Linked DNA regions of Canis lupus familiaris. The protein of the gene in region 2 binds, or shares a complex with, the protein of the main gene of each other region. Links are inferred from orthologs where the notes say so. Each region holds a gene or a part of one and is shown on either strand. Other genes may lie near its edges. The genes, in order: CRYBG1, PPP2R5C and PPME1.

Evidence for each region.
Region 1: the proteins of PPP2R5C (region 2) and CRYBG1 are in contact, whole or in part, in a crystal structure (PDB 6VRO), measured with the Homo sapiens proteins. The link is inferred for Canis lupus familiaris from reciprocal best matches to the Homo sapiens genes PPP2R5C and CRYBG1. Residues at the interface, in NP_002710.2 of Homo sapiens: Lys183, Thr184, His187, Tyr190, Gly191, Leu194, Arg197, Ala198, Arg201, Glu226, Ile227, Ser230, Ile231, Asn233, Gly234, Phe235, Ala236, Lys240, Glu242, His243, Pro265, Gln266, Tyr269; in NP_001358171.1 of Homo sapiens: Pro1136, Phe1138, Ala1139, Met1140, Pro1141, Pro1142, Ile1143, His1144, Glu1145, Asp1146, His1147, Glu1149.
Region 3: the proteins of PPP2R5C (region 2) and PPME1 are in contact, whole or in part, in a cryo-EM structure (PDB 7SOY), measured with the Homo sapiens proteins. The link is inferred for Canis lupus familiaris from reciprocal best matches to the Homo sapiens genes PPP2R5C and PPME1. Residues at the interface, in NP_002710.2 of Homo sapiens: Asp180, His187, Arg188, Tyr190, Gly191, Leu194, Arg197, Ser230, Ile231, Gly234, Phe235, Ala236, Lys240, His243, Asp313, Gln341, Tyr348, Glu353, Tyr354, Glu399; in NP_057231.1 of Homo sapiens: Arg37, Lys38, Arg39, Asn192, Lys217, Val251, Glu252, Gly253, Ile254, Ile255, Glu256, Glu257, Pro345, Gln346.

The regions. Positions count from the first base shown.
Region 1 is NC_049233.1:64,196,230-64,204,004, reverse strand, and holds part of CRYBG1 (beta/gamma crystallin domain-containing protein 1), read right to left. Parts: intron 6,182-7,775; coding exon 5,492-6,181; intron 5,411-5,491; coding exon 4,806-5,410; intron 1-4,805. UniProt on the Homo sapiens protein: May function as suppressor of malignant melanoma. It may exert its effects through interactions with the cytoskeleton.
Region 2 is NC_049229.1:70,339,008-70,346,782, reverse strand, and holds part of PPP2R5C (serine/threonine-protein phosphatase 2A 56 kDa regulatory subunit gamma isoform), read right to left. Parts: intron 3,368-7,775; coding exon 3,257-3,367; intron 2,241-3,256; coding exon 2,148-2,240; intron 2,062-2,147; coding exon 1,931-2,061; intron 1-1,930.
Region 3 is NC_049242.1:24,236,925-24,245,365, forward strand, and holds the start of PPME1 (protein phosphatase methylesterase 1), read right to left. Parts: upstream 4,980-8,441; 5' UTR 4,780-4,979; coding exon 4,679-4,779; intron 1-4,678. Other genes in the region: C2CD3 (C2 domain-containing protein 3), read left to right, coding at 5,096-5,165. UniProt on the Homo sapiens protein: Demethylates proteins that have been reversibly carboxymethylated. Demethylates PPP2CB (in vitro) and PPP2CA. Binding to PPP2CA displaces the manganese ion and inactivates the enzyme.

The DNA.
Region 1 (7,775 bases), on a different chromosome or scaffold from region 2:
TGAAAAGCCAACATCTCTCTGGTAAGTAACATTTGTTTTTTTATGAGACTATTTTAAAACAATCCTAAGTACACTCAACTATTTTTAATGGAGGTTTTGCTTCTGTAGGATGGATGAGAAAATTATATAGCTAAGAAAGTCAAGAGGTGGGAGGTTAGCAAGTTTATCGAGTACCTAATATGTGAGCACGGTGCTTGACACTAAATTCAGAAGACAGCTTAGGGCTTGAAGAACATGAGGTTGAATTTATATATTTGATGTACTCCTTTATTTTGAATATGTAAATGATCTCCCCAAATAGCAGCTGTGTATTTTTATTTTATCATAATTTTTAAGCATTATTTCAAAAGGCTAGATTATAAAAATATTTATCTGTTATTTACCTCTTTGAATATTTATTCCCTTCATCTTCCTTCATATAACTTTACTCTGATTATACAAGTGTGTCCACTACAGATCATATGGAAAATATAAAAATGAAGAATCACTCATACTCCTACCACTCAAATAATCTCCCTGTTAACATTTTAGTGTACTCTTTTTGTATGCATGGTAAAATACTTTTAACAAAATTGGAATTGTTCCATTCCATAGTGTTTCAGATTTTATATTTAAAAAAAGATAAATTAATCTTATCTTTCACATTTTTAACATTTTCATGTTACTAAAAATTTGAAGTTTTTCATAATGTCTGCATAAAAGTTTAATCATATGGATGTACCATAATTTACTTATCAGTTACTCAACTGTTGGTGTTGTTGCCTTCTGGTGGGGGCAAAAGGCATCTCCCCTCGCTCTATAAAGAAGCTATAATATTTCTTGGTTATTACCGCCTACTGGAAATCATAAATCTTTGTTTTCTTTCTGTTTGACATTAGCCAGCTCTGGTCCTGGCTCCTACACTAATGTGTGAGCTTGGTCAAGTTAACTCACTGGACTCACTACCTTTCCTATCTAGAAAAAACAAACAAATCGATAGTTTAGAACAGAGATGATCCTCTCCCCACCACACCTTTCCCAAGTGATGGCCGAAGGAATTCTTGGGAGTTCTCTCCAACAGTGACCGAGGGTCCAAGAGCGACCGAGGGCTGGGGCCAGCCACCCTCCTCTCGACCAAAGTCACTTCTACTTGTCTATTGTATATATCACTTTTAAGCTTTCCTAGAAGAATGGGCTCTGAAGCTAAACACAACACAATGTCTAAACCATACATCTAGTGGTTTCTAAAATGAGGAGATAATAACCACTAAGAATCACTGATTGACACACACTTGAGAAACAGTGTACTTGCCTAATGTACTAGTTTAAACATTCTCTTTTACAACGAGGAAGTTGAAGCCTAGGAAAGGCAGGTAATTTGCCAGAAGTCATACACCTAGTGAGGGACAGGGCCATGATTTGAAACCAGGGGTTGTGGTTTTGGAGGCTATGCTCCTGACCACTCTACTCTTCTGCTTCCCCAGACCTCAGTGACTAAATCTGGTCCTTTCCAGCTTGATATATTCAAGAGGTCAATGAGTTATCGTGAGAGCTGTAAGATTAAGCGATCAAACGTTGGAGGCTACTTTGATCATGAAAAGTGGAGAAGCACAGAAATCTCACTGCTGCCTCCACATGGATTCATTGGCTTTCAAGAAAGAGGGGCTTTTTTGAAGGAACAGGCAATATGACTTTGGGTGAGACACCTTATCCTTCTGGATAAAATGAGAACACTGAAAAGACTTGAGAAGTCTTTCCAAAATACAGCATTAGGAACTTAGATTTTTATTTTTAGGAATTTGATTTAAATACTAAATTTCATATACTCTCATGAATTTCTCTTAGGCACTGCTCTCTCCAATAGCTCCACAAAATAGCTAGGCTCCCTCATGGTGGGCCCATATCTTAAATTTAAAAGGAAAATTAACATACACACACTACCTTGAAGACTGAATTCTAAAACCAGTGGAGTCGAAATGGAGAGCTTACAAATGCCATCAGTTAATGAAAGATGTTCACATGCCAGTAAATACACATTTTAAAAAATTCTCAGGGGATCCCTGGGCGGCTCAGGGGTTTAGCGTCTGCCTTCGACCCAGGGTGTGATCCCAGGGTCCCGGGATCGAGTCCCGCATCAGGCTCCCTGCATGGAACCTGCTTCTCCCTCTGCCTGTGTCTCTGCCTCCCTTTCTCTCTGTGTCTCTCATGAATAAATCAAATCTTAAAAAAAAAAAAAAAAAAAAAATCTCACTAATCAGCTCAAGGAACAGTCAAACATCAAAGTATATCTTATGATGTCAATGGAAAACACTACAGGTTAGCCAACAAGCTACCTTAAGGACAGGAAACACATCTGCACATTAAAGATTTACGCCGAGATCAAAATATGTTTTACAACCAAACTTTCTGTGCTATTAAGTTCTGCTACCAAGAGTCACTACAATTAACCTAGCTCATACCGATTAAAAGGAAGGCTTCTCTAATTCATGCTTTGTGTAATGCCTTTATTATAATGGAGAAGGGAAAATCATCTGATGTCTTAAAAGCTGTGGCTAGGAGAGGAAAATTCTCCTTATTCTCAACATACCATTGCTAATCTCAACATTCAACACCTGGAACAGAACTGAAGACATAATTTTTCTAACAGCATCGAGAAACTTGCTGCTGCACAGTCCTTCTTCAGGGAATACAAAATAATTTACACTAAAACTTCAGATGCAAATTGCTTTTTAAAAATAATCGGTAACGTTCCTTCTTAAAATACCATCAGAGGAAAAAAACCGGAAAGGAAATCCATCAAACAGAAAAAGACTAGAAGGAATTAGTTTTCCCATTTCCACAGACTGCCAATTCACCAAGCGTGAGGCCTGGTGGAAAGCACAATCAAGCCAAATGCCTTGCCGAGGAGAAATTTTAGGTAGAAAGTGATGGGCACAGAGAAGAAGACGTGGTTTAGTTCACAGAAAACAGGACGTGCAGAGTTTCGTTGCAGGATCGCTCCCCAGGTCTGTTTACCCTACTCCTTGCAACATTTCTGGTTTTTCCACTGGCGTTCTCCGATTGGAAGGCAGGTAAGGCAGGTAAGGGCGTCCTTAAACAGCTCCGCAGTAACATTTCTCTAAGCTCACACTTAGTAGGTCTGAGTGTGCAGTCACACTGGCCTTCTACAAATAATGGGCATCACCCACTCCGATTACTCCTCTGACACAGCCGTTACAGAATAAATAGCTGACTTTATCAAAGGTCTCCAGATTGGCAGCTGGTGAGGTAGCTCACATTACTCATTAAGCAGGTTCTCCCTCACGTGTTTATCAAACAGACCTCCTACTCTAGAGCCTTACTTCTCCAAGAATTCAGATAGAATGAAACCGTTTGGTTTAAAGATCAAAATGCTGTGAAAATCCTGGCTCTTTCAATAAGGAATAAATGTAGGAACAACTTGGGCAGTTTATATTTCTATTTTTATTTTATTTTTTCGACTTGGGCAGTTTAGATGCTCATGTTTCACAGACGCTCCCTGGGAGGTGGGGCAGTGAGCCTGTGGGAAGGGGAGAGGGTCTGGGGCTTTACAGGGGCCCCTCCTTACCCCAGCCACCTTCCCAAACCACATTGAGCACCCCAGCCCAAGCTCACCTCCAAAAAGCCAACTGACTTCTCCTACTTTGCGCTTCCCCAGCCTTTACAGCTCACAACCCAGCGAGCAGTTCCCTGGGCCATCACCTCCTGTAGCATCTGTCTGCATCTGGCAAGCCAGAATGGGCCAGAAACTCCTCAAGGACAAAACACTGAGTCACACTGCGAGTTTCCCCTCAGAGCTCCTGGCCCAATACCATCCATGCACAGAAGTCACTCAATAAATATTTGGAAAAAAAAAAATCAATGAATTTAACAGTAGGTAGTCAGCCTGTTGAGCTTGATTCTTCCAACGCATGGTATCCTTTCATTTAACAACACCCCTCCCCCCCCAGGACACTGCTTTTTCTTCATTTCAATAACTAAGAATTACTTTTCAACCTGGGAGCAAAAATATCACTAACTTCCCTAACATTCTAAGGAGAGAAATGGGGGTGGGGGGGGGGGGATGTTTAAGCCACACTGAGTTCCAGAAAAAGTTCTGTGAGTTCTCTTAGACTCACAGGTGTCAAAGCTCCAGGGTCACACTGAACGTAAGCCGGTTTGCTCCCGGTTTCCAAATTTGCAGCACAGAATGCCCTACCCAGGAATGCGGGGGTGCATTTTGAATAAAAGAACTAGCCCAGGAGGCACCTGGGTGGCCCAGGGGGTGGGCATGGGCCTTTGGCTCAGGTTGTGATCACCGGATCCCAGGATTGAGTCTGGCCTCGGGCTCGCTCCCTGCGGGGAGCCTGCTTCTCCCTCTGCCCCTGTCTCTCTGCCTCTCTCTCTGGGTCTCTCATGAATAAATAAAATCTTAAAAAAAAAAAAAAAAAAAGAATTAGCTCACATCAGGCTAAGGGGTCTTCTTTCAATCGAGTAAACATTGAGTCTCGGGAGATTTTTACATCCACCAAACTGAATATTCTATCAGAACAGGAATGAGCAACCCGACTGGGCTTCCCAAAGTGTCCTCTTCTTAAACCTGTGCTAACCAGCGCTTCACTGTCTTAGTTACGATGTGGAGGGGGAAAATTCGTGCACAGACCCATCTGCCCCGAATGCAGAGACCCCCGCGCCCCCCAGACCCCCGTCCCCTGCACATCGGCCAGAGCTCCACCAGCAGACCCCTGCACAGCTGTGGACAGCCCCAGCCCCCCCGCACCGCCCCCCCCGCACCTGAGGACGGCCCCCGCCCCCCCGCCCCCACTTACAGGGTCACCTTCGTGGTCACCGTGGACCTGCCGGCGCCGAGATGGTTCCTGGGCCTCCCTCCGTCGGCGTCGGGAGCAGCGGCCGGCCGGCCCGGCTCTCTGCCTCGGCCGTCGGGGTGGCCCGGGGCCAGGCCCCTCTTGTGCTCGGGCCTGATCTCGGGCAGCAGCGTCGCGCTCTTGACCGTGAGCTCGCGGGGCCCGCCCCGGGCCGCCCCGTCCGCGCGGTCCTCGGGGGGCTCCCCGGCGGGCGCGGCCTCGGGGCCTCGGCTCCGGCCCCTCCTCTTGGCGGGGGACGCGGCGGGCGGCGGCGGGGGGGGCGCCGGGCCGCGCTCCGCCTCCCCGCGGGGCTGCCCCCTGGCCCCGGGGCCGGCCTTGGCCTCCGCGCCCGCCGCCGCGGCAACGCCCGGGTCGGGGCCCGCCGGGGAGTCCCCGCTCCCCGCCGCGTCGGGCGCCCGCTCGCAGCCGCTCCCCGGGCCGTCCCCGCCCGCGCTGTCGGGCGGCGCCGCGTCGGGCCCCGGGGACTCGGCGGACCTCTGCGACCTCCGCCGCCTGCCGGCCCGGCGGCCGCACGACCTCCTCTCCATGTCGTCGGGGTCGCCGCAGTCCTCCGGCCCGGGGGCCGCGCCCTCGCCCTCGCCCTCGCCCGCGCCCGCGCCCTCGCCCTCGCCCGCGCCCGGGGAGACGACCAGGGTCAGCGCCGCGGGCCGCGCGCGCTCTCCGGGGCCGCGCCGGGGCCCCGCTCCGCCGTCCGCCGCCGCCCCCGCCGCCGCCCCGGGGCCCCCGCCCGCCTCCGCACACCCGGGGGGCGCCCCCGCCGCAGCCCCGGCGCCCGGGGCGGCCTCCTGCTCGCCGCCAGCGCCGCGGGGGGCGCCCTCCCCGGGACCGCCCGCCCGCGCCTCCGCGCGCCCCTGCCCGGAGGGACTCTCGAGCGGGGAGGGCAGCTGCTTGGCGGCCCCTGGGACGGACCCTCCCTCTGCCTCCCGAGGCTCTAATTGGGGCGCATCACGCCCCGGGCCCCGCGGCCCCGCCGCCCCGCGTCCGCTGGCGCACGGGGCCCGCCCGGCGTCGGGGGGCGCAGCGCGCACGCGGCTGTCCGAGGGCCCCCCGGGCTCCCGCGCCGGGGGCCTCTCCTGCGGGGGAGCCTCCTCGCCCGGGTCCCTTTGCTTCGGCTGGCTGCCCTGAGGTTGGCTCTTGTCACTCTCTCTTTCCGGGGGTTTGGAAGAGGTCCCATCCTTGGGAGACGCGGCTTTGGCGTGGGAGCCGGAGGGGCTCTCCACCCCGCTTCTGCCGGACCTCCTCCGGCCGGCCGCGAACAGGGTGCCGAGCTTCCCCAACACCGGCTTGCGTCTGTTTTCCTCTGGTGGTTGCGCCCTGGACTGGAAAACAAAAGGGGTTGGGGGTGGGGGGGAGAGAAACGATGAGAATCTGCGTTTCCCACCGCCCCCCCCCCCTTTAGGAGTAAGCACGTGGCAGAAGGACAAGCCAAAATGGTAGCGACCAGCCCACCTGCAAAAGTAGAGACCTGTGGTTTTTGCATGTGCTACATGCACTCCAACAAAATAAACTCGGATTGTCACATTTTTTCTTAAGCCCCGTCTATGCTTGGCGCTACTTGGGATAACATTTCCTGCTACTAGAATCCTTGTGTTTTATTATTTTAAAGATTTTTATTTATTTATTCATGAGAGACACACACACAGAGAGAGAGAGAGAGAGAGAGAGAGAGGCAGAGACACAGGCAGAGAGAGAAGCAGGCTCCATGCAGGGAGCCCGATGTGGGACTCGATCCTGGGTACCCAGGATCAGGCCTTGGGCTGAAGGTGATGCTAAACTGCTGAGCCACCCGGGCTGCCCGAATCCTTGTGTTTTAAAGGGAAAATCAGAAGGTCCAAATACTCAGGCCTACAAACTCAACAGTTCCCAGGTTGCTCCAGCTTTTGCTTTTTGCCTCCTTCAATAAAGATGCAATTTCAAAACAGCCACGCGTGACTACACGGTAGCAGTAAATACACGAGAGTATCTTAAAGATTTTATTTTAGAGACAGAGAGAGAGAGAAGGCATGGGGGTGAGGGGGGCGGTGGGGGCGGCAGAGACAGAGAGGGGCAAGCGGGCTCCCCGCTGAGCACGGAGCCCCCACACTGGGCCCATCTCCGGCCCCCAGATCCTGAGCCCAAGTCAGCCGCTCAGCCCGACTGAGCCACCCAGGTGCCCCCAAAGTATCTGAAAGGGGAGTTTAAAAAAAAAAAAAAAAGAAAGAGAAAGGGGAGTTTTGCTTTGTTTTGAAAAAACCGCCCTTTCTTTTTGTAGGAAGAAAGGAAAACGAGTAAAAAGCTCCGGTGGTCTTTTCTAGAACAAAAAGAAGCCACCTGGGTCCAACAGAACTGCAAATGAAAACTCTTAAGAAACCCAGGGCTCCAGCACCTGGGCGGGCCTGCGCTCCCCCAATGGGAGAAGCTCCGGGGACGCCCGATGCCCTCCCCCGGCCCCCCGCGATCCGGCTGCTGCGAGGGGGGGGGGGGCTCACCCGAGAGGCCTCGACCCCGTGCGGAGGTCCTAGGAGCGCACACCCGGGAGTACCTGGGGGCAGGGGGGCATCCTCCCCTCCGGTCCGGGGGGCGCCCAGCGCCCCGGAGCGACCTCGGCGGGGGCGGAGGGGGCCTCACAGTCCCGCAGGCCTTCAGGGGGGAGCCCCGGCAGCATCCCCCCCACCCCGTGGGAAGGGTCCGGGAAGGGGGAAAACGTGCACCTGTTCCGTAGCCTGGAGCCCAACGGCCCGCACCTGGCGCGCCCGAAGCGCGGGGCGCTCGAACGTCCCCACGGAAGCAGACCTCCCAGTGGGCGCCTTTCCTAAAGGAGGGCGAGCCTTCAGGGCAGTTTTTTGGTTTTTTTTTTTTTTTTTTTTTTTTTTTTTTTTTAAACAATATTAGCTGTTTAGAGAGATTCCCGAGTCACACCTACGAGCAGCTGCG
Region 2 (7,775 bases):
GATATGAGTGGTGTGGAAGGTGGAGACCAAATCAACTACTAGATCCACGTAACATGTTTGGTTTTGATTGCACAGATCACGAATGATAGAGAAAAGATCGCTAAAACACAAAAGCGCCACCCTCCAGCACTGGGCGCTCAGTGAGAACAAACTAAATTATGTGCAATCACTTTTAAATAATTTAAATATTTTCGTTACTCTATTGAGGTTCTTCATGATTTGTGATTCTGTGATCTGAACAAAACCTATATTTTGACGAACAAAACCTCACTTTATGTAGAGCTTTAATTTTAGGCCTAAAAGGCTATTTAAATTGTACCTGTTCTTTGCTGTTTAAATAATGTATAGAATGTTTTGATAAATACCGCTGCCACGTAATGATCTCGTTCAAAAGGAATCATGATACCAAGAAGCATGAACTAGGGAACACAACACGCAGGAAACGGGATGTCCTTCTCTGATCATATGTGGTGCCCAGTCCTGGGATGTGGGGGACTTGGAACAGGTTCAAAGGAACTGGCAGCTCTAACACTGGATGTCATATCAAGTGTGAAGATGAGAGAGAGGAGCAGATGCCCCGATGACTGCGGAGGGCAGGGTAGGGGACGCCGAGGATGAGAGGGACGGCTTCCAGAATCCCCAGAGGCTGCTGGTCTCCGTGGTGGGATCTTATTTCCCACACCCAAGTGTCTCCATCTGTCTCACCTCCCCTGTCTCCCTTGCTGGGTCATGATGCCTAAGAAGGGAACCACCTGGGCTCTGTGGTGCTCCTGGTGATCCTGCACGTCACTTTCCCTCCGGCTCTATGGCTAGCCTGGGCGAAACCCACCTGCTTTCTTACCTCACAAGGGGACCTGTTACTGCTAGGATTTTCACTACCTTAGCCATCCTGGAATCAGGGCCTTCAAGGGCAAGATGACCCAGGCAAGCCCAAATTCTTGGAATAAACTGCTCATAGCAAACTTTCCAGGGACAGATAAGAAACATTAAGTCTTTCATTCATCAACATTCTTTTGGTGCCACCACAGGTCAGGTGCAAAGCGGTCACTGGAAGTGTGATAAGGCCGCTAGCACAATGCCTGCCCCAGAGGGAGACCTGCCTGCCAAGCCAGGGAGGCTTTCTGGGGAGGGGGTGTGTCTAGAAGCCTGCGAGGATGTGGAGAAGGGCAGCTGGAAAGAATGTTCTGGGAGGCACTAGTGGGTAAGGAGCCTGGAGATGAGCAGAGACTCAAGTGAGAAGGCCTGCCCAGACCCACACACCCACACACGGCAGCGCCCAGGGGTGGGGCTCATCCATCCAAGCATGGCCAGTCACCCCGGGTGACTCAGACAGCAGCAGAACCGTGCAGATGTCAGCGGGTGGGTGGAAGGGTGTTCAGATCTTAAGAATCAATGAGAGGCGGTGGCCAGGACCGGGGGGCGGGGGCGCGGGCTTAAGGTGAATATTGCACTTGGAATGCCACAGAACATCCTCTCACGAGCCATGGGGCTGTGCCCTCTTCCACAGAAACCCAGACAGGGCAACTTCTGCACCCAGCTCCCCAGACGGACCAGTCTCTGCGGTCCTGCAGGCCTGGGACGCCAGGGTTTCCAGACCTCTAGTGTGGTTCTCCAGCCTGTGAGCATTTCTAAGGGTCCCCACTTTGCTCCCCACTCCTGCCTTCTCTCTGAGATGCTATTGGGGAGGATGAAGTAACCCGCAGGTGAAAGGAGTGACAGCTGGCTTTGGACAGGTTCTGGATGGCCCCACACCCAGGGTAACGGGACAGCTGGGTGAAAATGGAAACAGAGGAAGGACGTGTGCAGAGGTGCTGGGTTGGTGAGGGAGGGGAGCGAGCAAAGAGGGACTGAATGATGGGGTAGGGGGCACTGAGTAAGATCGCGATCATCATCATGCAAAGAGAGAAATGTCACCCACACGCTGACTTACCTATAAAATATATTATTTATCTGTTTTCTGATGTAAGCTCTTAAGCCTAAGAATTTTCCATAGATTCTGTGAAGGGTAGTTTTAAGAAAATCTCTCTCCCGAGGATCTTCACTGTCAAAGAGCTCTAAAAGCTTCAAGAAGAAAAAGACACTTAGTGGATCAGTATTCCTGCTCTGCAGATTAGGACTTTTGTAGCTTCAGCTAATTTGTACCTTACCTGCAATACAAACTTCTGATCAATATATTTCTTCGCTATATTAGGTTGGAAATCTGGAGACTCTAAAAATCTTAAGAAAAATTCATAAACAAGCTAGGAGGAAAAAAAAAACAATGAGTCAAATAATATGGTATTTTATTAGATGGAGACTAAAGGTACACCACGAGTTGAATCTCTGAAAATATTAGCCTTAAAAAAAAAAAGCTGCTTATCTACAGAATTAATACCAAATACCATGGCTTAATTTAATTATAATTGATGACGGTAATTGTTTTATTTAGCTCAGAACCACGGACTATGCCCTTAACTGGCATTTAAACGAAATGGTACCCATGGCTGGGGTCACTGGCACCTAACTGACGTGGCTGGGAGACGACAGTGAGGGGCGGGATCTGCAGCCCACCATGAGCACGTGTCCTGTCAGGGCCTGGGGGACAGGAAGCTGGGACTGCTCGGTGAGCGGGTCGCAGACAGTCACCCGGGGCTGGGATGCTCCTCCTCTTCATGAGTGGGCTATATGCTGTCACGGTTACACGGCAATCCCACATGCCTTGGGGGATGTTCTGTCCCCAAGACAGCCCCCCCTTTGTAATTGGATCCCCATCTAGCTCGTTCCCAGCTTTCACCTCTCTGTCTCCCCTCCTGTGGACGACCCAGGCCCCAAGGTGGTGCGTGGCTTGTGCACACTCTGCTCATGCTGAGCTCAGTGTCTTCTCAGGCATCCAGCCTGATCTATGAGCAATTTCTACTTTACGAATGTGTCAGAAAAAGGTGAGTCAGCAGGTGAGCCTTTGGGTGTGTTAAATCTAAGTGCTGAAAACTAGGGAAGCATCTATCTGCAAAAGGCCTCGATCTGATGGCTATCAACAAAGGGTCACTTTCATTACAAACATATTGACAATTCCAAATAGACAAAAAAACCCATTCATTGTTCTCACTTCTGCTAAAATACCTTTCTTATCTGCACAGGTTTGCAAGGTCAGCGGTCCACTTGCAATCAGCTGGAGTGAGGCCCTAGGGCCAGTTCACTCGCTTTAGAGAAAAAAACCCTGAGAATGCACACACTTAACTCACGCCCCTGTTGCTGGGGCACTCCCAGAGTTCAGTACCTGTAGATGAGGCCAGGCTGCTTCTAACGTGGGCTCGTCTTCCTCGGGGTCAAATTCTGCTCCCGTAGGATTGGAGGAAGGTGGTAACGTTCGAAACATGTTAACTGCAAACTAAAATCCACATATTCTTGAATTATAACCAGGACATTCAAGATATTTACAGAAAACATTGAAAAAAAAAAAAAAAAGACCATTTACAGAAATCATTTAAATTCTAACGACAGCTGCTCCCAGTGGTTATCTGGCTCGTCCTTATTCTGAAGATTCAGAAGCAGTGTGGATCCCCAACGAGAGTGGGTCAAAGCTGCAACAGGAAACCTGGCTTGTGGGACAGATGGCTACCGACACTCCTGCTCGACTCTGAGCTGCCAGATTCATGGACAACCAGCACCAACCAGTGCTGGGGGGGCAGCGGTGAGTTCACTGTGCCCAGTAAGCGCAGAGCAAGGAGGCGGGTGTAGTGCTGGGAAGAAAAGGATGGGCTTGAGCAGGAAGCAGCAGAGATTAAAGAACTGGTCTCCTGCCCCAGAAGTGCCTGCATTCAGCACCGAGAGAACCATCAGAGGGCAGCCGGCCGTGTGCCCAGGGCGGGACGCTCATGGCCTTAGTCTCTCTGGACTCACAAGGAAATGACTTTGGAAGAGATTTCTTGAGAATGTGAATGACCTCCTCGTACAACTTGCTACCTGCCTTTCTTTTATATTGTCCTTCACCACCTTCTCCCACTCCACGCTCTGTTTATTTCCAACTTAATAAAAGTCAGTGTTTTATAGGTGTTTCTACATAAAACCTAGAATTCTCTGGAGCACAGGTATACTTTAATGTCCACATGGTTAATTTTTTTTTCTTACGTGGTTAAATTCTAAATAAAGCATAACATATACTGATAAATTTGTGATATAAATGTTTAGTTTTTGTTTATCATCCATTTATAACTTATTCTTCTTTTGTAGTAAGTTTAAATGTGATAGCTACCTTACGGAAGCTCTGTACCTGCTGTATGTGGGTTACAGCCCTGGGCTCTGCTGACTGGCTCTCACAGATAATCAAAGCAAGGCCTCCGCCCCCTCACCCCCCAAAGCACAAAATCCAAACACCTGCCAGGCAAGGTAAGACCCAGCTCCATGACAACGAGTGGGAGGTAGCTGGGGACAGTCCAGGGCAAACCTGCTGCTCAGGTGACCAGTCTCGTAGAGACTGAGCTAAATCTCAAGGTCATCCGTTGTTTCTTCTGGTCTTGGCTGTTACTGACGGTGAACTCCGAGCCCCCTAACATCATGTTCCGGGAAGGAAAATGCTCCCATTTTACAGCATCAGCTATGAAAGCCCCGAGCCTCAAACATCTGTGGTCTGTGCTGTCCAAGAGGAGGAGTAGATGCAAGGAATCAGAACAGGAATGGAGGGTACCAGGGATCCCTGCATGGCTCAGTGGTTTAGCGCCTGCCTTCAGCCCAGGGTGTGATCCTGGAGACCCAGGATCGAGTCCCACGTCAGGCTCCCTGCATGGAGCCTGCTTCTCCCTCTGCCTGTGTCTCTGCCTCTCTCTGTGCGTCTCTCATGAATAAATAAAATCTTAAAAAAAAAAAAAAAAAAAAGGAATGGAAGGTACCGGAAAAAAAAAAAGGTAGGAAATCCAGAAACAAGTAAAAAAAAAAAAATCCTTTTGTAAAACCAAGAATAATACTCCAAAAACATACATAGAAAGAAACAAGGTCTGGAAGCTATGAACAGGGTCCTGGAAGAGGCCTCCCAAGTGACAGGTGACTAAGCGATGGAGGTGACAGGTGCTACGAGGTACGGGAGGCACGTCCTGTCACTGGCCCCCGGGGGACGGGGCAGCAGGGGCTCTCCTGACACTCTGATCCCAAAGCCCACGGAAGAGAACAAGGAGACAGCAGGAGCTCCCTCGCCAAGGAAAGGCCACAGGCGGGTGAGGGGCAGCAGGCCGCCCCGTCACCCCGGGCGCTCAGCCCTCCCTCCGGGGCTAGGGAAGTGCGGAGTGGAGTCAGATGGAGCCTGGGGCCCGCGTGGGCGTGTGGCCTTCCTGCGCTGGGTTTTCTACCCTTTCCCTCAAAGCCAAATGGCTGGGGGCGTCAAGACAGTCACCCAGAGACGGGGGGTGCCTTGAAGACAGCCAGGGGGACGCATGCTACGCCTGCCTCTCCCAGAGACTGAGGCCCACCCGGGAAGGAAGCATGCATGCAGGTGGCGGCTGCCCCCCGGCAGGTCCCTCACTGGCCAGGCAGCCCTCGGGGATTGACGCGTTACACCAGGTGGGGCAGCCGTCCCCACGGAGACTACGCAGGGGCAGGGAAGCAAGGTCTTAGGGGTCATGGCTTGCCCAGGAGCGCCCCGTTATCGAGCACTCATCTGAGCATCACTCGGGAAGGTATTTGTAGCCGTGGTCAGCATCTGCCATCGGCTGGCTTTAGGCACAGGAGAGTACCCGGAGGACGTGGGTGGCCTCATCCACTCAGCTGGAAAGTCAGAAGAGCAGAACTGTGGTTTCTCCCCCAAGGAGGAAGAAAATCCCCCTGTGGGGGCAGCCTCAGCTCCTGCCCCAGGGAGTTCCTGGAAATCATCTCTCAGGCTGTCTCTGTTTCTCTTACTGGTCATTTCTCTGACTGAACTCTGACACATCTGCTTAGTTAAGATTCTTAGTAAACTGGTTAGAGTCGACCAGTAGTGAAGCTACTGTCCCAGCTTCAAGCTGGAGCCCAGACCGCAGTGTGGGGTCACCTACGGCCCGTCCCCAGTGCCTGCATGGGCACCAAATCCCAGCAGCTCCCGAGTTGGGAGTCTGCAGGGGAGCTGGACCGCCTTGCTTTTAAGGCAATAAACCTCTTTTCAGCATCCTTGAAGGACCCCTCAGACCCAGGAAGTCTTCTCTTAGCCACCTCGGATTGATACGAAGTCATCCCTTTCACATGACAAAATAATCTCACGCTGGAGCTTCTACTCACCTTTCCTACCACAGTACATTGCATTGATTCAATGCTCGTCTCTGGAAATAACTGTATAAAACTAACATTTGGAAAAGAGAGCAGAAGGCAAATGGCATGCCATCTCAAATTATTTTTGGGTTGCAGTAATTCTGAGCGCAAGAGCTTCAGAGTCAGGCCAGCTGAGCACTGTCAGGAGGGGCTGCCAAGCTGTGCGGCCACAAGCACCACGGAAGGTGGTCATTGTCATCCTCGGGCCACAGAAACCGAGGGAACTTTGTTTGTACCATAGGTCGGATGGATCAAATGGACCCATTATACCCTCTCAGCTCACACATGCTGAGCTCTGCGCACCCTGCGGTGTGGACACGGCCAGGATCAGGCTACGTGGCCAGGGCGGCAGGGCTGGGTGGGGACAGGCTCCCGGCACTCTTCCTCCCCAGAAGCAGGAACTGTGCAACAAAAAAACCTGCCCACGCCTTGGAGAAAGAGGGTGAATCTTCTCCCTGCTTTGGGCCTGTGTGGTTACCATGCACACGGGTGTGCACGTACGTGATGCACACGGCCGTGCGGGGCGTGGACGGACTCTGTAATATTAGGAAGCACCTGCTTTCACAGCTTGCTCCACACTCCTACTTTCAGTACTTAAAATCAGCCGCGCAGATGCTCCTCTCCGGAGTGCTAAATTTACTGAATTAGATGCAAACCACACCGGCTTGAGAAGCAAGCAACCTTGTGGGAAATTCCTGCAATTCAGCAGTATCATGAAGCCTTTCTGTGTCTGTGACATTCACGTCCAGAGCGGGGAAGTAATAAGACATTCACGCCATGAGGGAACTGCACTATGGCAGAACATAGAAAGGTTTAGGATATGAAGGGACACCACACAAAAGAACACTGATAGTCTAATTTCAGAGACAATGAGTCAGGGAAGGTTGGTCATTCAGTTCTTCCTCTAAATCACAAAGGTTATTCCACTACTTGATATATTCTGTGTTATTCACACGAACAGGATTTATAAAGGTGAGTCCACCAAGGGCCAAATCTCAGTTCCTCCAGAGGCTCTTCCTCCCACAGACAGAAACACTAAGTTCTCAGAGTCACAAGAGATAACACTTTGGGGCTGGCAGGGGTGGGGGAAGTGGGGAGGGAGTCCATCAACATTATTACTTTTTTTTTTTTAACAGAAAACCATATTTGTTTGTAAATGTTACAGCGTATCTGGAAAAACCAACAGAGACAATAGTAGACCATTGCAGTTGGGCTATGGTACAGAATCCAAAAATATATATACAAAACAAACAGCAATGTAATTAGGGAACACGATTAATGGGAGGAGCCCAGGGACACAGTCCCAGAAGTGACTGAGGGCCCACTGCTCAGTTACAAGGCCCCAGTGGGGGAACACAAAAACCCTAATAAAGGGCACGCTAGCTTACATGAGTGAACAGAGGAAACTTTGTGCCCCAGTGGGGGGAGACATCCTATTATAAAGATAACTTCTCCACAAAGCAATCTGCACACTGAATACACTCTTAAACGTAATTCTAACTGGATTTTTGATGAACTTGAAGAAC
Region 3 (8,441 bases), on a different chromosome or scaffold from region 2:
TAAGAAGTTAAATGAAGGACTATTTAATCAGATATGAGTAATATAGAACTTACAGGGAAAAAAGCTGACATTACAAAAAATTCAAAGGAGAGCTTCTACTTCATAAAGAATAAGCCTTTCTCACAGTTCTCTATATAAAATAATTTGCTAGTTATCATTCCTTAAAAGCTTATGTGTCAGGAAGTATAAGTGCTTTGCATGTATTATCTCATTCTCATAGAACTCTAAAGTAAGCAGAAATTAAAAGGAAAAAAAAAAAGAAAAAGACTGAGGAGTTAAATGACTTAACCAAAGTAAATGCACAAGCTGGGCTTCAAACTCCGATCTATACTACTACTTTTTTTTTTTTTTTTTTTTAGATCTGTATCACTTCAAACAATTTCTACAGCAAAGTATAACAAGAGCAACAATGGACTAAAAATCTGAAATCTGGGCTTGAATCCTGTTTCTGCCATTTGATGATTCTGGTTTTTAGGCAAGTCAGAGAACATTGGAGTTTTCTCATTAAGAGAAAATATCCCTGCCCTAAGGAATCTCATAAAATAATACAAAAAAGCACCAATATATCTTTCAGTTAAAGCACTGGAGAAATGTTAAGATATAACTACAGAAATGGAGTACCATTGATAAACCAAAAACACATTGAAAATGAATGGTTCTAATAATCTATATAGTCTCTTTAATGGTAATGGCATGTACTAAAGCAGTGATTTTCAAAACACACTCCTCTCAAGCACACCTCGGTGCTGTGGACTGAACCTTTGTGCCCCTCCTCCAGCCCCAAATTCATGTTCAATCCTAACATCCAATTTGATGGTATTTGGAAGTGGGACGATGGGAGATGATGAGGTCATGAGAGTGCAGCCTTCAAGGATGTTATTAGTGCCCTTAGAAAAGAGATGCACAGAGCTTCCTTCCCCCTGCTGTGTGAGGACCCAGCAAGAAGATTGCCATCTCTGGACCAGCATGCAGTCCCTACTGAACACAGAATCTGTCAGCGGCTTGATCTTGGACTTCCCAGCCTCCAGAAATGTGAGAAATACATTTCTGCTGTTTATAAGCCATCTAACCTATGGTATTTTTGTTATGGCAACTCTAACAGGGTAAGATACCAGTTACAAGTAGGGATCACAAACCAGAACAGCTCCAAAATCTTTAATAAAAAAGTTCAGAACCACGGTTTTTGGCATCATCTACTGGCATCCATCATGGAACAATAAAACCAGGAATTCAGGCCTTACCTAAGAAAAAGTGTTGGTGTTTCGAGACTAAACATCAATTGAATTCTAGTTCTCCCACATACCAGTTGGGTGACTTTTAATCTCAAGTCTGAACTTCCTTACTTATAAATGCAAAGAAATATCTACCTCGCAAGGTTGTAAACAGATTAAAGTAACATACAAACAAATATAATAAAGTAACACACATGAAGCTACTACTACAATGGCTGGCACAAAGTACCTATCTAGAAAAAAAAAAGTAATTGTTATTATTACATTATCAAACAATACTCTGGAATTTCTATATCTAATTTGAAAAACTAAATTATGGACACTCACAAAAAATCATAAACCCAAAACCACCCTGAACATGGAAACACATCTAAATAAGGTTTAGTGAAATTAAAGGTAAGAGATTATGAATTGAAAGAGTTGAAAGAATAAGTCATAAAAAGATTGTCAAAGGCACAGGTCCAACTTGAGAGTAAGAAATAGATGGGGGAATGGAAAAAGATAAGGAAAATGCAAATGAATGAATAGAAGAAATAAAATAGGATGCAGGATGCTTTAAAATTGGTAGAAGTAAGACTTCATAAATCAAGACTGAGGAAAAAGACTGAATCCTAGAGTATTTGTAAAGAACTAAGACATACAACTCAAAACAGGATAACAACTATGAATCCGAAAAACAAAATGGATCTTAGAGACTCCAAGTCTTAGTCTTTAGTGGCTCTAACCACTTAGCTCCTACTGCCTTAGTATGAAGAAGATTTGAGTTTGTCTTCTCTGTCTCTCTTTTTTAAAGATTTATTTTAGAGAGAGAGCACAAGTGGGAGGGGCAGAGGGAGAAAGAATCTCAAGCAGATTCTACACTGAGCTTGGAGCCCAACTTGGGACTCCATCTTATGACCCTGAGATCACAACCTGAGCTGAAACCAAGGCTGGTCACTTAACCAACCACCCAGGTACCCTGAGTTTTACTTTTTTATTAATAAAAAATATTGTCCCTTGCCTCTTAAGTTTACCTTACAGAATACAGAATTAAATTCTTCGAATTTATTTTCTCAACTATACAGTGACACAGTAAAATGAGATCATTTATACATGTTCCTTCTAGGACAGGGAGAGAGTCAATATTACCACTAACTTTAGACTCAGCTGAGGCCTGCCTATATTCCAATAAGGAAACAGGAAAGAAAAATAAAGGAAAACAAGCCACTTGGGAAGCACATAAAATTCACCAACAAAGCCCTTCTCTTCGCAGTATCATAAAGGATTTTTCTAAAGAACTTTGTTTTCTAGGATAAATAGTTAACAAAAGCATCTATTTAAAGAGAGTACATTACCAACAATTAACACAATTTTCTAATTAGCAGCTTTTTGCTGTATTTTCTCTTAGTGTTTTTCTTTTCAGTTCATCTTCAGAGAACTAGTTTTAACAAAGTGAGAAGCTGAACTCTAATTTACTTGTAGCAAGTATAGTTATCAAAAAGCTAATATTTTTATGTATTTTTACAGAAGAGTACCGGTATACTAAAGGATGAATTTTAGTCTAAGAAAGGCAACAACTAAGACACATACCAACGATAAATGTTACATTTATTTTTATACTCCAGGTTAACTTTCCCAAATAATCTGTCATGGATCAGTTTCCAGATCCTCCTTATTCATGTTACAGTCTTCACTTTCTGTCTTCTAAAGCCAAAACAATCTCCGTTTTACCTTATATGAGGCCTTCTACCACCGTCTTTCCATTGTGCATCCACTATCTATCTTCTGTCAAGGTTTTCTCATGTTTCTACTGTGTATCATAGTCAGGTTTCCAATTCTTAATTTCCTCCCCCTGGTTTTTTCAACCACCACCCATTAATTCTCACACCTCTCTACCCCACTGTTTTAATTTATGGGATATTCCTTTCCCTTTATTCCAGAGACCTTCTTTCATAGTACTGCATCTCCTGTCCTCATCTCCTTTTTGATCAGTTTTTCTACGTACTACTTCTTTAGAAACGAAAGTTTCTCTTCTCTAGTCTTTATTCCAAGGATATCTATCAATCGAACTCTAAAATCCCAAGCACACTCTCTTGACTACCTCACACCTACTCTTTCTACCCCTTCTCTCTTAACAGTCACTAGTCTCCAGAATATTATTTTATACTACAAATACCTCACAAAACCAACTGCCGGGACACCTGGGTGGCTCAGAAGTTGAGCATCTGCCTTCGGCCCACGGCATGATCCTGGAGTTCCTGGATCCAGTCCCACATCAGGCTCCCTGCATGGAGCCTGCTTCTCTCTGCCTATGTCTTTGCCTCTCTCTCTGTGTCTTTCATGAGTAAATAAATAAAATCTTTAAAAAACAAAACAACTGCCTACTCAATTTCCTCTGCTTTCCAGTAATTACCTCTCTTATGTTCAATTGATACCCTCTCTTACACCTGAGTAACTCCTAATCTGGCTCAAGCCATTCAATGACATAAAATTTCCCAAACCTATCTCTTCAACACAGCTCCTCCCTTCCCAGTAAATGGTTTTCCCCCAAACGTTTTAACTGGCTACTCTGAATGCTTCATTAAGTCTGAATCTTCTCAAACCAGTATGTACCTTCTCCATCAGACTTACTTGCCTGGCAAAAATCAACTGCCCAAATTTCCTCTTTAAGCTTCTCATACCTTATCTCTGCAGCACTTTCATTCCCTAAACCCTGTTCCCAATCTTTTCTCCATCTCTAGAGCTCATGGTCACTCTCTAAGCTCCTCTTCACTCCTCCCCTTACTCCCTACCCTTATTTCTCAGCACGTTCCTTTCCATAACAGTCTATTTAGTTATATTCTCCATCTTTCCTTGGCCCTGTTTCCAAGCTTTCACAGTTCTCCCTTAAGAGATCTAATCTCCTAATCACCCCCTCACTCCCTGAATCGGCCTCTTACGGCCCTAGGCACTCTCTCTAGAACCTTCTGCTCCCTATTTTACTTTCCTTCTCCAACTCTGCCTCAGGTGTTATCATCCTTCAGCTTTTCTAATATCTAGTTGCTTCAGTCATCTTACTATCCCAAATCTTTTCCTAGTTGTTCCCCTAATTCCCTCAACTTTTCTCATTCTCCATGTCTCTCAACCCTCCCTGACAGATATTCCCTTACTCTATTACGTTTCCTCAAACCTCTTCCATCACTTCTTCTGGAGGTGCCTCCTACATCTCTTAAATTATCCTCTCAGCTTCCTCAATCTTTGCCTCATTCCCTCCTCCCTTCAATACTATTTGTCCTCCAATTTCCATTGACTTGGCGCCTCCCCTAGTTCCCAAATCTGCCTTCAACACCATCGAAACGTCTCCAGGCCGCTGCTAACATTCGCTCCCATCCTTGGCTTCCCTTGCCGTGCCGCTCTAAACGCCTAGAGACACCATTCTCCAATGGCCGGGGCCTGGCCTCTAGGGAAAAAGGGTATGGGTCACGTACCCCATTCGCATCTTGGCTCCGCTCTGACTGCCCCCGCTGCCGGGTAGAGGTGGGCGAGACGGCAGGCGGCCGAGGTGCATGCTCTTCTCGAGGGCCGACATGAAGGGAAGGCCTCAGGTAGTCAAACAGTAGCCTAAGCTTCGTCCCACGCTAAGTGCGGCCCAGCAGGTCACAGCTCACTCCCCTTAGCGACGCCCAGTGCCTTTGGACAGCACCCAGCTACCGGCAGCACCGCCCACCGCCCACCGGCTCCGTAAACTCCACCCCCTCTCCTCAGCTCTTCCACCGGAAGTGCGCAACAGCCCTCCACAAAGGAAGCTGGGTAACGGAGTCTATGGATCTATTAGACCCTAAGCGGAGAGCTCATCGACCCTCGCCGGAAAGACAGGCTCTCCTACAGGCAATGCACTCTGGGCAATGAAGTCCTCAAAGGGCGTATCCCTTTGCGCTTGCGCAGCTGCACACGACAGCGGCCAACCTCGCAGAGGTAGTGTAGCAAAGCATCCTGGGTGTTGTAGTCTCTTGCAGTAAGACGTCTTGGCGCCTTTCCTTTTTACCGCTTCTCGCAGGCTGTTGGAGGGAGAGCCGCTTCTTCCTGCTTCCCAAGCTGCCCGGCGGCTCCGGTTGCCGGGGAACGCAGGCGCCTTGGGAAGGGATGGCGGGAGGCGACGGCTTAGGTGCTGGAGCCAGAGTTCAGGTGGTGAAGAAGAGCCCTGGCTCGTCATGAAACAACGAAAAGGCCAGGGGTCTGCGGGCGTCCGTGGCCGCAAGAAAAGAGGTAACTGGAGCGACCAAAGGTTGAGGAAAGAGTAACGAGGCGGAGTTAGGGGAGCCAGGTATAAAGAATTCTAGGGAGACTTCCACATGCGCCTGCGAAAAAGGAGGGAGAAGGGAAGAAAGAGGGAAATAACCAAAGAATGAAAAGGTCGAAAGAGAAGGCATTTCGCCCTCACACGAATGGAAAGGAAATAGAGGCCGAAGTAGGGGGACAAAACGGGCGAATAAATGGGCCGAGGTGAGGGACTAAAAGGGTACAGGCAGAACGTTTCTAAAGAAAGGGAATAAAAATTCTAGGAATTTTTTAGCCTTTTGAAAGTGAGTTATAATTGATATCACATTATCTTAGCTTCAGGTTGTACATGATTGGATATTCGTATATGTTGGGAAATGATCACCTGCAGTGAGTCTAGTCAGCGTCCATCACCGTTACTAAGAAATTTTTTTGTCATGAAAACTCTCAAAATGTACTTTTTTAGCAACTTTAAGATATGCAGTACACTATTACCTATAGTCACTGTGCTATTACATCCCCATGAGTTAGGAGTGCTTTTGATAACAAAGGTAAATATGTGTCTGTGTTTGGGAAAGTATACCTTTGGAGTTCCACACGGACTGGGAAAAAAAAAAAACAACACATGTTGGAGAGGTGGTATGTCAATTCTAATAGGAGAAGATCATGTTTTATACTTTACTGAATCCCCAAGAACTAGCACAAAGCAGGACTCAGTAAATGTTGGTTGAATGGGTCCAACATGAGGCAATCTTGAAGCATGAAGGGGTACAGGCAGGAGTTGGGAAAGATAGTTGTGGAAGAAAGAGGGAGGAGTGACAAAGTGTGGTAGTGTTGGAGTGGTGGTGAAAGAGTATGTAGCAAGAGGACCTTATCAGGATAGTATGCTTAAGGAGAAATATGCACACCAGAAAAGCAGGGAAGTGTTAGTTGTGGAGGAAACAGGCGCCCTAGTAACCCAGGACTGATCAGGAAATTAGAAATTGAATCTCAGTGGAGCTGCCTACAAACAAACATACATTGTGTGACTTTGCTTTTTACATTATAGGTAAAGTGGTGTTAGGTATGGTGATAGTACATTAGGCCATTGGATTAAGGACTGAATCTACAGTCTGAGAATGAATCTTATCCAAACTGTTTAAAGATAATAAGGCAGTTTGAGGCAGTACCTTTCCTGCCAGGAATGATGGGAGGATATGAAATAGAAGCATGGATATATTCAATACTGGTGTTCCCTATGCCAAACCAGCCAAGTATATTTGGTTGATAGGAGGTAGATAAAAATAGAAATAACATAAGAATGTCTTTCTTGCTATACCATGTGTGTGTGTGTGTGTATACACACACACACATAGTAATGCTCATATACACACCCATGTATTATTTTTATATTCAAACTAGTTATCTATAAAGATTATGGTGGGTCATCTTCGACTAGAGAGCAGAGAATTGTTCGCTTTAGAAATCCAAAGACTTACTTATATAGATCTCCTGATCTGATATACTCCAGTATATTTTCTTCTTGTTAGGCATGACCATTCTCCAAGGAAAAAGAGGAATAGAAATGTGTGTATAATATAGGAATGATTTCTTTTTTTTTAATTTCACTCTAGTTAACATACAGTGTTATTTAGTTTCAGATGTGCAGAATGGTGATTCAATAATTGTATACATTACTCAGTGCTCATCATAAGTGTACTCTTTAATCTCCATCACTTATTTCACCCATGCCTCCCCCCACCTCTCCTCTTGTAACCATCAGTTTGTTCTCTGTAGTTAGGAGTCTGTTGGTTTGTCTCTTTTTCCTTCTCCTTTGTTTATTTGTTTTGTTTCTTAAATTCTTCATGAGTGAAATCGTGGTATTTGTCTTTCTCTAACTTCACTTAGCATTATATTCTAGCTAATATAATCCATGTTGTTGCAAATGGCAAGATTTCATTCTTTTATGCGTGAATAATTCATAGATATATATATGAAAATAACTATGAATCATGCAAAGATCATAGATCTTCATAGATCACAAGGTTCATAGTTATCTTCATATGTATATGAGTATTATTCAGATATATGAATTCATCTAACTATGAATGGAAGACAGGGTCATTAAGGGAAAGTTTTATACAAAGTCATGATTAAATGCCTAGTTTACATTTATTATCTGTCTGAAATCCAATAAATGCTATAAAAGCTGGAGATCCCTGGATGGCTCAGCAGTTTAGCGCCTGCCTTTGGCCCAGGGCATGATCCTGGAGACCTGGGATTAAGTCCTGTATCGGGCTCCCTGCATGGAGCCTGCTTCTCTCTCTGCCTGGGTCTCTGCCTCTCTCTTTCTCTCTGTCTCTCATGAATAAATAAAATCTTAAAAAAAAAACAAACTCTATAAAAGCCAATAATATTATGAGCCCAGTACTGTAGTAAAATGTGGCAGAATCTGAAGATGATAGTGTCTGTCTTCATTGACTGAATGATGTTGGCAGGAAAGAAAATACACAATTTAAGGTGGTTTTTATTGAAATGCTGTCATATGGTATAGACTTAATCATTTGAGCATTGAGTGAAGGGAGTTGTTGCTGTTTCATGTTTAGTGATGGTTTTAAAGTAAGGGGTAAAGATAATATATTAAAACCTAGACATTGGGCAGCCCCAGTGGCACAACTGTTTAGCGCCGCCTGCAGCCCAGGGTGTGATCCTGGAGACCCGGGATCAAGTCCCACGTCAGGCTCCTTGCATGGAGCCTGCTTCTCACTCTGCCTGTGTCTCTGCCTGTGCCTCTCTCTGTGTGTCTCTCTTGAATAAATAAATAAAATCTTTAAATAAACAAATAAAACCTAGACATTGCAATAATTTTTTTAAAAAATACTTGGAAGAAAAATTTTAATTCTGAGATTTTAAAAACCTATGCATTGTATCATTATACTTGTATTTTTGAAATGGTATCTTTTTAAATTAAAGTATAGTTGACGTACAATGTTA